Linked DNA regions of Xenopus tropicalis. The protein of the gene in region 1 interacts with the protein of each later gene in a pairwise test. Links are inferred from orthologs where the notes say so. Each region holds a gene or a part of one and is shown on either strand. Other genes may lie near its edges.

Region 1 (4,051 bases):
CACAGAGAGGAAGTTAAAGGGGATTTCCACCCCTAAAATAGTTTTTTGCATAATGAAAAACAATCCAAATTTCCAGTGCACATTCTGTGATTTTCAAGTTATTTGTAAAGGAAATTTCAGCTAAAAGCTGTGTTTGTTTATCTCTTTCTGTTCTCTGGTTCTGACTCTTGAAACAATGTAGCAGGAGTCAGTTCTCCTCCAGGTCTGCTAATCAGTCGGCTTCTGTTATTGTGTTACCACAGTCAGAACCAGCAGTGCAGAAAAGGTATAAGTCAGTGGTTCTTAACCGTCATAATGCCGCGACCCTTTAATACAGTTCCTCATGTTGTGGTGACCCCCAACCATAAAATGATTCCTAACCCCTGTGAAAGGGTCCTTCGACCCCCAAAGGGGTCCCGACCCACAGGTTGAGAACCGCTGGTTTATCTTTTCCTGTTCTCTGGTTCTGAAACAATGTAGCAGGAGTCAGTTCTCCTCCAGGTCTGCTAATCAGTCGGCTTCTGTTATTTTGTTACGACAGTCAGAACCAGCAGTGCAGAAAGGGTATAAGTCAGTGGTTCTCAACCTTCCTCATGTTGTGGTGACCCCCAACCATAAAATTATTCCTAACACCATCAGAAATATGTGTTTTCTGATGTTCTTAGGCGACCCCTGTGAAAGGGTTGTTCGACCCCCAAAGGGGTCCCGACCCACAGGTTGAGAAGCGCTGGTATAAGTGAAAGTGTGGCTCGGCGCCAGGGAATAGATTATGGGCTACAGATCAATGGCCGGAAGTGGTTATACAGGGACTTTGGCCGCTCTCTGACGCAGGTTAATAATGAGGCCCAGGTCCCTGGCCAGTCGCAGGTTAATAGTGTTATGTACCGCAGTGCTGTACTGTTGTGTCACCTTGCCTTGTGACTCTGGCTTTCACGTGATCCACAGAGAATAAACAGGTGACTCAGACAAACAGGTTTGCGTGTCAATCACTTGCCATGCCCTGTGCCACTGCCTATTTACTATATCTCATCCTGGCCTGCACCCTTCCCACTAACCCCCACCCTAAAAACCCTGGAATATGATTTCAGCGCCTGCGAGCTATAGGGTTCTTTAAACTGAGACTGTTTATTTTTCATTTGTCCTGTCTGGCAGAGAGAAGGTTAATTTCAGCATCCCCCTTTGTTTTGTTCTGCTGGTACTGCCCAGGGGCGGGGCTTAGTGATGTCACATTGCCCTTGCTCAGTACACTGTAACATAGCTTGTTATTGCATCTGCTGAGCAGTAGACAGCGAGGGGCATCAGCTGACTGATATATACATTTATATACTGTATATACACTATCTCCTGGGGCAGCCATGAAATTCCAGTATAAGGAGGATCATCCTTTCGAATACAGGAAGAAGGAGGGCGAGAAGATCAGAAAGAAATACCCGGATAGGGTGCCTGTAAGTAGGGACAGCAGAGCTGTGTCATCTCCCTATGGATCCCACTCTCCATCCCTTGTATCCCTTGTATCTCTCTCCTACCCACACTGTATCCCTGTCCTACCTACACTGTATCCCTTGTATCCCTGTCCTACCCACTCTGTATCCCTTGTATCCCTGTCCTACCCACACTGTATCCCTTGTATCCCTGTCCTACCCACTCTGTATCCCTTGTATCCCTGTCCTACCCACACTGTATCCCTTGTATCCCTGTCCTACCCACGCTGTATCCCTTGTATCCCTGTCCTACCCACTCTGTATCCCTTGTATCCCTGTCCTACCCACTCTGTATCCCTTGTATCCCTGTCCTACCCACGCTGTATCCCTTGTATCCCTGTCCTACCCACGCTGTATCCCTTGTATCCCTGTCCTACCCACGCTGTATCCCTTGTATCCCTGTCCTACCCACTCTGTATCCCTTGTATCCCTGTCCTACCCACTCTGTATCCCTTGTATCCCTGTCCTACCCACACTGCATCTGTACAGCACCCTAATGTCCCCCTGTCAGCACAGATATGGGTTCCCTTAGAGTGAATTCCGACCCAAAAACTGCTTATTGCACAATGAAAGACAATGTAATTCCAAGCGACTTTCCCATGTACATTTGTTATAGTATTTCGGTGTTCGATGTCATTGCTATGGGAAGTACCGTCTGTTCCTATTCTCTGAACTCCTCCTGTGACAATGGAACAATGTAGCAGCCCCTGGGCGGGCAGGACTTCTGCTACATTGTTTCAACTCTGGAAAGGAAGCGGCAGAAAGGGAGAAATTAATGTTAATTTCAACGGCAATTACACTAAGTACAAACCATTAAAATGGAATGTACATTGGAAAGCTGCTTAGAATGACATTTGCTATCAGTGTGCGTAAAACAGGTTTTGGGTGGAGTTCCCCTTTAATTCCTTGGCTTTCTGCTGACGGCACAGAGCTTTGTAGTTGTGCTGTTCCTTCGGTAGGGAGCTTTGTGCTCTCTGCCAGACTTCCTATGGGCCGCAGTCATTGTTAGAGACATCTGTAAGAAAGAAAGCCACTCATTGTCACCTGCCCCTCCTCCGATTCCTGGTCTGTCACCTTCTGCTGCCACTGAAACATGTACTGTCTGTTGCTATGGACTGTCACTGCCACTGCTGCAAAGCCATTGGCTGTCAGCTGCCCCCACTGCAGAGCCACTGACTGTCACCTGCTGCCTTTTCCTTGGCTCATACACTGCCCCCCCCCCCCTGCTATAGATCTGTAGCTTTATACCCCCCTCCCAGGCTACAGCTCCTCATTATATCAGTCCCAGCAGTGCGAGTCCTGCATGTCACTTTCCCTTGGTGCAGAACATTGTCCTGTCTAGTTACTTATTGACTGTCACTTTCCCTAACCGCAGAGCTTGCAGAACCATGTACTGTCACTTATGTAAGCTCTACGGGGCAGGGACCTCCTTCCCACTGTGTCTCATACCACATGGCACTTATATATATATATATATATATATATTGTATTTATTTATTATATCACTTGTCCTCCCTGTGTGTAATTGTGTATATTGTAAGATTTTACAGCGCTGCGTACCCTTGTGGCGCTTTATAAATAAAGTTATACATACATACATACATACTCTGGCTGCAGAGCCTTGTCCTGCCTTGCAAGCGACTATACACACTCGGAGCTACTAGTAGCAGCTACTTTTTCACGGCTCATTAAATGATCAGCATTGTCTAATTTAGTAGCCAAGACAAGTAGCTGCTACTAGTAGTTCTGTGTGTCTTCACCCTAAGAAGGATTTATCTCAAGGTGGGGAGGCATAGGCCTTTCTACAATGCCCATGTTTGTCTTCTTCTCCCAGGGTAAATACATTAGTAATACTAGTCATCAGGGACAGACCTTCTCCTGCTCCCCCCCTGTATATAATAATTACGTTATTGTCCGGTCCCCTGGTCATAAACTGTTATTCACAAGAGCTATGAATATCTTGTAACTGATATCCTTATAAACAGTGCTTAGTGATGTCATTAGTTATAAACGGTGCTCAGTGATGTCATTTGTGTTACATGCAGGGTCGGACTGGGCTGGCAGGACAAAAACGTGGTGGGCCCCACTGGCCCAGAACTGATCCCTGCTGGGCTCTCCGAGGCCCGCAGGTCCCCCTCTCCCAATGTGCCTAAGTATGCACGCGTGGGGGAGGGGGTTGGGTGGGCAGCAGGGGCCCGAGGGTGATGGGGACCATGGTGGAGGTCCCTTGGGGGGGGGGTGCAGAGCCCCCGCGGTGACTTGTCTTACAATTTTGAGTTCCCTGACCTGTATAAAAGTGCTCAGCCTGTGTCCTTGTGCGTTTATATGGCTATGGGTCTCATATGTAACTGTTAATATCCTTGTAATACACAAGAACCATGAGTTTCCTTTAACATATATCCTTATAAACAGTGCTTAATGATGTCTTTGGCCTTGTGTTTTTATATGGTCAAAGTGACTTATAATATCCTTATATTTGTATCTTTCATATAACCAAGAGCTTTAATGTGGATTCTATAAAATGTTAATATTTATACATTATAGAAGAGATTGCAGGGCTAATTAGTAATCTATCCCCCATATGTTATACA
Region 2 (3,500 bases), on another chromosome or scaffold:
CACCTGAATTTGCTCAATAATTTCTCCTGAGCTAAAAGGTAAATTATTAAACAAAACAAGGAACCACCACAGAGAATTGTACTCTCCGCCTCCCACTTATTCCCAGCTTATCGCTATGTGTAGTGCATCATAACTCCACTTCTTCTGTTGCGCAGCTTGATAAATATGCCCTTTAGTGTTGTGTGCGGGCTCCTCCGGGTATCACACAGCGCCTGTAATAACCAAGCTATTAATGTAATATTACCTCAGGGTAGAGATGAATAGAAAGCAATGGGTGGATTTTTCCCAGCGCCACAGAACACTTTATCAGAAGTATAAATAGACATGCTGCAATCAGACCAATGGGATTACTCCCTAACTAGCATATGCCATCACTGAACTGCCCTTCTTCTACCACTGGTAGCATTTGGGTTTTGTGCCCTTTACACCGTGGCCTCTCTTGTCTTTAAAGGATTAACTGCAATTAACACTAAGTTAAATCTATCATATCGTAAGAGAAGCAAGAAATTATGTTTAAATCATTGCAGAACATTTCTAAAGGGAAATGTTTCCCACCCCCTCGTGTATAAGTGGGTTATCCCACTCTCCGCTAAACAGATAGGTATAAGAATAATGGATTCACTTGACTTTAATCTATTATAAATGTCTGTGCAAATAATTACAGCATATTACCAGCAACCAAGCCATATGCTGCTTTCATTAAAGTATATATCAATGGAAACTGCCATTTTGCTTGCCCTGAATGAGGGGACTAAGGATGGGTTCAGACAAGTGCGGATACTGAGGAATATGAAATCATGAAGGGACAGCCCATGGCCACATACGTTATAGTCTGTTTAAGGGAAAGTAATGACAGATCCCTACTTCCAAGCAGATTTATTGCCCCCATTGGTTCTGATGGGGAGTGACGCTTTAAGCTACATTGCACACCTAGTTTTTAAGGTGATCTCCTCACCGCTACATTACAAACATACAACAAGCATGGCGGCTTTAGTCAAAATTCAAGACACTGCCATCAAAGTGGGTCTGCACATGCCGCTCGAAGATCTGCTGGTCGCAGTCTGGGGGGAACTGCTCGTTGCACATGGGGCAGACTTTCCAGTGACTCTCCACGTGGGCTTCAAACTGGCCCTGGTCGTAGTTGGGGGGAAATGAGACTGGGCAGAGAGGGCACTTCTTATTCATAGTGTACCTAAAAAAACAAATTCAGCCATTAACCATGGGGTGCTGCGGTGGCAATATACAATGCACACACTCAATTGCCCCCCTATACACAAAACTGGCTGCACAGAACTCAAATCCAATTATTTCCAGAAAACTGAACTCTGCCCTGCGCCTGGGATGTGCGGGTATCAGCATGGGAAAAGAACCATCATGCCTCAGCAGTTTCTGGGGTTTGGTCCCAGTGGCTGCTCCCAAGGGTAATTCTCCAACACAGAACACACGAGTTGTCTCTGACAGACACGTATGGCATTCGGCAGGATTAGGGGACAGACATGTCTGACCCCAGTAAAAGGCCCAGAGGGGTCAGGTAAAATGAAACACTATTACACATGATTGCTATCTACTGATATCTGAGTTGCATGAAACTTTTTTTTAATAAAAATATTCCAAATGTTATTACCCTGCTTCAAAGCAGAAGCCTGATTGGTCATGCATGGCGATGCGTGTAGGATCAGGAGTTTGTTCAAAATTTACATTATCGTCATCATCATCATCGTCTTCATCCTTTAAAAGCAAAAACAAAAGGACACCAGTTAACAGACAGTACACAGCAATGTGAATATGATAACATTACTACTGAGCTTTATTCCACATATATGTTCCTTGCAGAAAAGCACTGATGGCTGACATGGATTTCTGTATGAGAGACTGCAATACAGTTGGTGCAGTGATGGGCCAGGAAACAAGAGGGATATATGTGAGTGCCAGTAACTGTGTGACGCTGAATGTGTGCATCAATGTTATTATAGTCCCCCAGGAACTGTGGCTGAAGCTGAACACGTGTGTTACATATTAGGGTAAAGACACACTGAGCTACTAGTAGCAGCTACTTGTCACAGCTACACCAGAAAATACCCTGCCATAGAGAATACTGAGAATTGCCTCTGCTAAAACACACGTAGAGACAGTTATCAGTAAATGATCAGCATTGTCTGATTGTCTGTCTGTAGCCGTAACAATTAGCTGCTACTAATAGCTCCGTGTGTCTTAAGGCTCTGGCACACGGGGAGATTAGTCGCCCGCAATAAATGTAAAATCGCCGGTGGGATGACATACGCAGGCGCTGCGATTTCCCTGAAATCGCAGAAGTTTCCTCTCAAGGCAACTTCCGCGATTTCGGGGAAATTGTGGTGCCGCATATGCCATCCCACCGGCGATTTACATTCTCGCCGGTGTGATGGCATTTCGGGGAGATTAGTCGCCTGCGACAAGGGAGATTTGTTGCGGGCGACTAATCTCCCCGTGTGTCACAGCCCTTAACCCTAAACCATTCACATGAGTCTTTGAGAGCTTATAAGTGAATGAGCCTACTACAGACCAACACAATAAGGGGAATTGGGTGCTAAAGTAACTATTGCACAGTATAAGTATAGATAGTCAAACAGATGAGACTATGTATACAGATCTCTGATTTGGGCTCCCAGCAAATCCATGCAAGTTGGAAGCACGTCACAACTCACTAGTTCCCTCTGACAATGTGAGAGTGAGCAAAGGCAACACAAGAGTCGCGTGTCAGCACGCAGCCAGGAGTGATGTGCACATGGAGCTAGCGCCACTCAAGCATGTCACACGTGTCTCTCCGCACTCAGGCGCATCACTTAAATTGCCCTGCTGAGCAAAAACTACATCTCATCAGCTCTGACAGCTGCTCTATCCCGCGCACTAACAGCAGAGATCTATAGCCGCCCACCATGGATGGCAATCACTGTGCTGATAGACAATCAGAGCCATCACAGAAAGCTCAGCGCTGCCAATACAATAAAGAACAGAATGAAATCCATGCGCATCGTGTTTAACCCATGGATGACAGCAAGATACCCACAGGCCATGCAGCAGGTTCTCAAACTTTTTCGCTGCACTCTCAAAGTTCTGTCAAATATGGTTCCCAACTGGCCACACTTTATAATAAGCCTTCTTCTTGTGGACACTCATAACATCACCACTGTTTGGAATGGAAGTGCCAGCCTGTAAGCTCCGGGGCAAATGTAAGCGCATATTATTCAGTGATCAACTAAAGGTGAAAAAACAGTATAATTTATCTGTACTGAGGCACAGTGTGCCCACCACCTTTCTAACGCACACGAAGCACCGGATTTAAAGTTGTGGCACCCCAAGCCCGCCCCCCATCCCTCCCGAGCGCATGCGCAAACGCGCGAGCAAGCTCCCCAGTCCACACCAGTATTTATGGGATAAAAGAAAAGATGTGGTGACAGAAGAGAACAGTAACATTGGCAAATATGCTTCTTCTGTATAACAGGCGTTTTGCACTTGGGCAC
Region 3 (3,500 bases), on another chromosome or scaffold:
TTCTCCAAAAGTACATGTAAACATTGTAGAACTCCTGCCCAAAGTGACGAGAGGTGGATGAAAGCAACAATGCTAACAAAAATGCTCAAGCAGAGCAGAAACCAGCTAAAACGGAGAGCATTTCTGAACAGAGGTCTGACTATCATTGCTACTTGTGCTTCAGGTACCATGTTTCCCATAAACAGGTAGGTATATTGCTTGTCAATCTGATTATTAGGCTAGAAAAGCTGCAGAGGACTGCAAATGTATCAGAAACTTATTCTGACAATGCCATTAATTATACTAAAGTCTTTTAGATAGATGATCATGTATTCTGAACAGGAATTAGTTTGATTCCCCCAGAAGTTCCTATTGAAACCAACATATTAAAACAGACAGTAAAAGGGAGAGAGAGTTGGGAGGGCAACTAAATATTTCCTACAAGTAATACTAAAAGTGTAATACAGCTGGGCTGCAGCATCACTGGGATAATAGATATGCAGTAAATGCCATTTAAAACTCACTTGAAAAACTCATTCTTCTCCTCTTCTGTTTTCACAGTTAAGCTTTCCAAAAAGTTCACAACTTCTAAGAAATCATTCCTGTTCAATGAAGAAAACAAAATGGTAACTGGATATGTAAAATGTCTGTCACTGTTAGTGGCCACGTGGTTGTGACATAACAGTCAGGTACAGCAAGTAAGTAAAATGCAATCCTTATCTACATCCTTCAGGGTATGACAAATGGTCATGGCTCAACATATAACCATGGCATAATTTTGTCAAATGTAATTAAAGCACAAAAATATAATAAATATATATCAAAGGCACATTAAACATTTATTTGATTAGTTTAAAGGTTCAGTCACAAAATGTGACCTTCCTCAGGGACAAACTTGAAACAGACAGAGCGTTGGAACTCTGTTTGCAAGCACACAAGGTGCTAATGCAGAAAAAATGTAAATAAACACCATAGCAGGGACTCCAATAAAAATGACTTGCTGGAAACTTCCAGTTCCAAACTGGAGCAGCAGAATTTTGGCTGCAGCTTAATTTATGTAGATGTGCCATGTTACTGACTCCAGCAAGAGAAAGCTCATGAAGGAGGGGTTATGCAGGTACCTTGGTACAACTGGTTACATTTTAATTCAACAGTTTATATATTTGCTTGGTTTACACATAAACTGCATGTATTTCCCTGAGAAGGACAACAGTGGCTGACAGAATCCTGTGAAGGCTGACCCATCCAGTACTGAAACAGTTTTGGAAAAAATAAATAAATAATAAAAAAATTGTCTGGATTTGAACCAGACAGTTATTTTCCCAACTTAAAATAGAAAAGGTGTAGGATGTCTTTCCACAGCAGGTTTAATTTATATTGTACTATATATTTATTGACGGGAAATAAGTACTAAAATATTAGGACAATGAATAGAAACAAAGCCAAAACAAACATTTGCACTATGAATGAAATGAAAACTGTAATTAAAGATAAAGGCCTACTGAGCTTCAACACACATATCTTCTATCCTTATTTCTTTGCGAGCATGTGTTTAAGTCATTAGCCATTAGCACTGGTTAGACTGTCCCCTAACATCTGATACCTGTCAAGTGAAGGATTGGTTCTAGCGTTTAAGTTCCCAAAACAAGAGCCCAAGGCCCTCCTTATAGGAAGAATAAATCTGTCAACTAGCTGCTGGGTACAGACAGATGCACACCTCAGTGCCATTATCTGTGCCCCCAAATAGGATATGAAAAGTAACAGATACTGAGGTGGGATTCAAACAATTACATACCTAAAGAAATCATGGGATAGTAAAGTGGAGAGTGCAGGTCGGAGTTCTGGTTCTGGGTTCAGGAGAGAGTTCTTCACGGTTGACTTAAAGTTGGACAATGGTTCATCTAAAAAAATGTTTGCAAATGTATAACTAAAATGACCTCTAACAGCTACAAATCAGTTCACTAGAGATATCCAAGTGTTCTATATTTTATTATTTTAAAATTGGCATTTGTAAAAAAAAAATCCTAAAAATCAGTTCCTAAAGTAAAGTAGGGCCTGGAAACTTAGGCACAATACAAAAGAAACATTTCTGTATGAAAATAGGTACTTACTTTGATCACTAACATGGGCCAAAAGACTTTCAATCAGTCGACCAAACGAGAATGCATCACGGGCATGACTGAGGGCCATTGGAATAATCCCAAATTCCGCCGACTGTACAAAAAACAAAAAAATTAACATTTTTTGCATTAATACAGTATAAACATATTCTGCTTCCTCTCCCCAACCCCACAGAAAAGAAACTGGATATATTCTATTCTAAGCGCACATTTAGAAGCATGCCTCATAGTATGGTGTTCCATAATGAAACCAGAGCTTCTTCGATATTGTCTGTTCTGGATAAAAGCTCAAGCTGTACATGAACACTGCTGCTTCAGTTTTTCTGCAATTCACAACTCTATTAGCTGGGGGCACAACACTAACTTCACATTTACAAAACATGATATTTGCTCCAATGAGCACAATCAGAGAGCAACATGAGCAACGGGATATAAACATAGATGATTTTGTATGCCAGCTTCTGTGAAGCTGCACAAAGAACTGATGATAAAGATGCCATTAATTAAGTCAGCCAAGAACAATCTCCAGGGAGCTGACAGCAAGAAATATCTTGGGACCCAAAAATCACCATCACACCTACTGTGGAAACCATTACCCAGTGGAATAGTGCACCAGTAAATGCAATATTAAATGTGACAGACGCTGCAGAAAAACTTACAAGTCAAGTCATAAAATAAATAAATGAAGTAATTTGTTGGGAAATGCCTTTTTGTCCCTTAAAGTGGTACATAAGCACCTTTCACATGACATACATTAACTGAACAGTAATTATACCCTAGTAACGATTGAAGCTGAATTACAGAGCTAGGGGTTAATTATGTGAGAATATATGCCTTTAACCTTTCTATAATCTATTCAATACCATTCCCAAAAAATGAAGAGGTAAGTACAGAAAACACAGGAGCCTTAGAGTACAGATACCTATACGACTGACTTGTGATCAGTAAAACCTACTGGCATATGTTACTGTTGCTATTATTTTTCTGCATTTGTTTATTTTTATCAGTGGGAGCTGCTATGATTGCTCTGAAGAGGTAATCTAATGCACAGATCAAAATAAGCAGACAAATAAGCAGCAAATATTTGTTCACATTTACCAAAAGAAACCCTCCGTTTTACCCACCATACAAATCATGAATGGTTTTTCTAGTTGGCATTGGTAATAGTACCAACCAGATTTGTGACAAGGATTCTGAAACTGGATGTGATGGGGCCAAAGATGGCGGCACCAACTCCACTCACTCCTATGTAAGTCCTCTGCAGTTAAATAGTTGGTATGGGGGGGGGCAGAGAACTTTACGATGGAGGTACCAATGTTTTTAGCGCGTTCATTTACAAATGCACAAAGGAGTGGTTTAGTTCACCTTACTTTTTTTTAACTATGCATTGCATGTTTAATG
Region 4 (3,500 bases), on another chromosome or scaffold:
TCTAACCATAGAGTCTGCCTATTTCTATACTTCCAATCAGTCTGTATAAGCTCCCAGAATATGTATAGAGTCATCTGTTAATCCAGCACAGGAAGGGGCAGATTCACTAGATGTGCACCAAGGGACTGTCTATCCTAAAAACCTTTTGGTAAGTAGCATAGTATTCCACCTTACTGCCACCTTACTGTTATGGTTGGCAAAAAACTTTTATTTTGCCAGGAGAGGTACATGGATGGTATAGGAGACTAAAGAGTTTGAGCTACTTATAATGGGGCTAAAGGAAACATTAAAGGGGATCTCTACCCAAAATCTTGCCTAATGAAAGTTTAATTCTCAGCAACTTTTTAGACACCATTTAAAAATGGTATTAATGGTAACCACTGCTCCAACATGATTACTCATATGTGACTGAACACTTTACTCTCAGTGAGCCTAACCACTTGACATCAATCTACTGTACTGTAGATTTTTACACTATTTTAAGATTTGCTTATTAGAACTCACGTGCTGCCTTTCATTCAGTTTTACACGGTTTATTTTTTTTCCATTTACTGCCATGCATTCCACTAAAATATCTACATTTATGCATCAACAATAAAGGTGGGAAAGTAATCCCCCAAAAGTAATGTGCCTATGCAATTGTGTGATTTATAAATTTTAATCTACTTGTGCAAAGAATGTTGAGCAGACACAATACAGGTGTATAAATCTGATTGGTAATGTTTTACCATCAAGAGACCATGTGTAAGTACCAGCCACACAGCTGCAGCATGGCGCAGGCTGCCTCCTATCAAAGCACCTGGAGCAGATGTAGAGACGCATCAGGACAAAGCTCAGGATGGAGGCCACTGCTGCTTATCGTGCCTCTCCGTCTAGGGATAAACCACATCAATCCTGTATATGTTGATGCTTTTAAGGTGAGTTATTGTAATCATTGCCACAACTTTATTCATATGAAAGTAATTGTAATGACAGAACTGTGAATTAAAAACCAACACCCTGGAACGAAATGTTGACAGTACAGGTATAGGATCCGATTATAGGTATAGGAATTCCTTTTTCTCTGTAATACTAAAACAGTACCTTGTACTTCAGAGGTCCCCAAACTTTTATACCTGTGAGCAACATTCAAGTGAAAAAGTGTTGGTGAGCAACACAAGCATGAATAAAAGTTCCAGAGGTGCCAAATAAAGGCTATGATTGACTATTTGGTAGCCCCTTTGTGGACTGGCAACCTATAGGAGGCTCTGTTTGTCAGTACACCTGGTTTTTATGCAACCAAAACTCGCCCAAAAGCTACCCCTGGGAGCAACATCTAAGGGGTTGGTGAGCAACATGTTGCTCGCGAGCCGCTGGTTGGGGATCACTGTTGTACTTGATCCCAACTTAGATATAATTAATCCTTATTGGAGGCAAAACTATTTGAATGATTTTTAGTAGAAGTAAGGTTCGAAGATCCAGTTTACGGAAAGACCCTTTATCCAGGAACACCAGGTCCTGATCATTCTGTCATTCTGGACATATATACTGTACATATATGTAGAAAAAGTCTGAGGCACACACTTATAGGAGTTACAACCTGGGGGCAAATAAGAGAGACAATATAAATATGTAAAAAATGCTGATGCACACCAGGAAAATTTTATCAAAAAAAGATACTCATTTTATTTCCATCGACGTTCGATCCTCACTCATATATATATATATATATATATGATAAAGTATCATTTAGATTAATCGCTGTGGTACACTAGGCATTTCTGTCATTCATATATCACTTTATTAAAGCTGGTATATTACCAGTTGGGTATCTAGTGACACTGACATAAAAACATTAATAGTTAATATGCCCTTATCCTCAGGAGTGCTAAAATAATTTTTAAAAAAAGTACTTAGATAATAGCTATTTATTTTGTTGTTCATATTATTAGGCAAGCACCTAGGGACAGATTCAAAGTTTTAAGGATATGATACCTTCCCATAGGAGAATGGGATTAAAAAAGAAACAAGAAGCACCCAATGAAAGTTAGTGTGAAGATGACCTATCCTCAAGAGTGCTAAACTAGTTTCATGCAACAAAAAAGTAACTGTGATGATAATTTTGTTTATTTTGTGTTTCTTTTCTCTCTAGGCATGCTTTAAAATGCCCCAGTCATTAGGAGCTTTAGGAGGAAAACCAAATCATGCCTATTATTTTATAGGGTTTTCAGGTAATGTTTCTTATTGAAAACCTCTCCCTACTTTATTAGTTTAGTATTGTTCTTACTATGCACACATTTACTTTATCAACTGTTAAAGAAAGGATTGTAAATTCTGAAAGTGCAGCTATGGAGAAATATTAACTCGATTGCTGAAAGGGTGACCACATGGGGCATTCTGTGGGAAGGTGTGGCAGCAAGTCTGGATGGCCCAAGTGGCACAGTACACCAAATATAGGTAAACTTTACCATAAATAAACCTCAACATGGAGCTGCACCCTTTATTTAAACCATTAAATGGGTAGTTCACCTTTATAACCTTTAAGTATGATGTAAACTTTGATATTCTGAGACAGTTTGCATTTGATCTTAATTTTTTGTGGTTTGTGTAAGTTATTTAACATTTTGTTTAGCAGGTCTCCAGTTTGGAATTCCAGAAGGTATCTGGTTACTTGGGTCCTATTTACCCTGGCAACCAGGCAGTGGTTTAAATGAGAGCCTGGGAGTAGGAGATGTTTCAGTAGGAAATAACTAAAACAACTATATATATATATAAAAAAAAATAATGAGACCAATTGAAAAGTTTCTAGGAATTGGACATTTAATGATAAATGTTAAGGTAAAAGTGAACAAAACAATCAGAGGCAAAACTGCAAGCCATTTTACCCAGAATTCAATATAAACAGTCTGTATAAAACAACACAGTAATGCAAATAAATAAACAATATTTCACTAAAAAAGGTCTGATCGTAAATTAATTTCATTCTGAAAAATATTTAGGTGGTTACCTACTGTTCTATTATTTTCTGTAGGAGATGAAATAATCTACTTGGATCCTCATACCACGCAGACGTTTGTAGACACCGAGGACCAGGACCAGACGTACCACTGCCAAAAAGGCCCTAACAGTATGAAGGTTTTGAATCTGGACCCTTCAGTAGCATTGGCAAGTTTGTTTACAAATGCACGGTTTTGTTTATTAGGATAAATGCTAGACCAGGGGTCTGCAACCTTTAAGACATGAAGAGCCACTTGGACCCGTTTTCGAAAAGAAAAAAAAACTTGGAGCTGCAAAACCATTATAAAACAAATCTAACACAGCCCCCCTATAATGTGCCAGAGTCCAGGCCCCCCTATAATGTGCCAGAGTCCAGGCCCCCCTATAATGTGCCAGAGTCCAGGCCCCCCTATAATGTGCCAGAGTCCAGGCCCCCCTATAATGTGCCAGAGTCCAGGCCCCCCTATAATGTGCCAGAGTCCAGGCCCCCGTATAATGTGCCAGAGTCCAGGCCCCCGTATAAT

The links. The genes of interacting proteins can lie anywhere in the genome.
Region 2: the proteins of gabarapl1 (region 1) and tax1bp1 interact in binary tests that used the Homo sapiens proteins (3 or more experiments, as listed by UniProt). The link is inferred for Xenopus tropicalis from reciprocal best matches to the Homo sapiens genes GABARAPL1 and TAX1BP1.
Region 3: the proteins of gabarapl1 (region 1) and scyl3 interact in binary tests that used the Homo sapiens proteins (3 or more experiments, as listed by UniProt). The two-hybrid records come from large-scale screens. The link is inferred for Xenopus tropicalis from reciprocal best matches to the Homo sapiens genes GABARAPL1 and SCYL3.
Region 4: the proteins of gabarapl1 (region 1) and atg4a interact in binary tests that used the Homo sapiens proteins (3 or more experiments, as listed by UniProt). The two-hybrid records come from large-scale screens. The link is inferred for Xenopus tropicalis from reciprocal best matches to the Homo sapiens genes GABARAPL1 and ATG4A.

The regions. Positions count from the first base shown.
Region 1 is NC_030683.2:18,818,247-18,822,297, reverse strand, and holds the start of gabarapl1 (gamma-aminobutyric acid receptor-associated protein-like 1), read left to right. Parts: upstream 1-1,251; 5' UTR 1,252-1,334; coding exon 1,335-1,424; intron 1,425-4,051. UniProt on the Homo sapiens protein: Ubiquitin-like modifier that increases cell-surface expression of kappa-type opioid receptor through facilitating anterograde intracellular trafficking of the receptor. Involved in formation of autophagosomal vacuoles.
Region 2 is NC_030682.2:42,570,269-42,573,768, reverse strand, and holds part of tax1bp1 (tax1-binding protein 1 homolog), read right to left. Parts: intron 1,729-3,500; coding exon 1,625-1,728; coding exon of another isoform or gene 1,621-1,624; intron 1,193-1,620; coding exon 991-1,192; 3' UTR 1-990.
Region 3 is NC_030680.2:118,619,637-118,623,136, reverse strand, and holds part of scyl3 (protein-associating with the carboxyl-terminal domain of ezrin), read right to left. Parts: intron 2,194-3,500; coding exon 2,091-2,193; intron 1,881-2,090; coding exon 1,775-1,880; intron 582-1,774; coding exon 504-581; intron 1-503. UniProt on the Homo sapiens protein: May play a role in regulating cell adhesion/migration complexes in migrating cells.
Region 4 is NC_030684.2:52,216,564-52,220,063, reverse strand, and holds part of atg4a (cysteine protease ATG4A), read left to right. Parts: intron 1-735; coding exon 736-917; intron 918-2,131; coding exon 2,132-2,210; intron 2,211-3,010; coding exon 3,011-3,144; intron 3,145-3,500. UniProt on the Homo sapiens protein: Cysteine protease that plays a key role in autophagy by mediating both proteolytic activation and delipidation of ATG8 family proteins.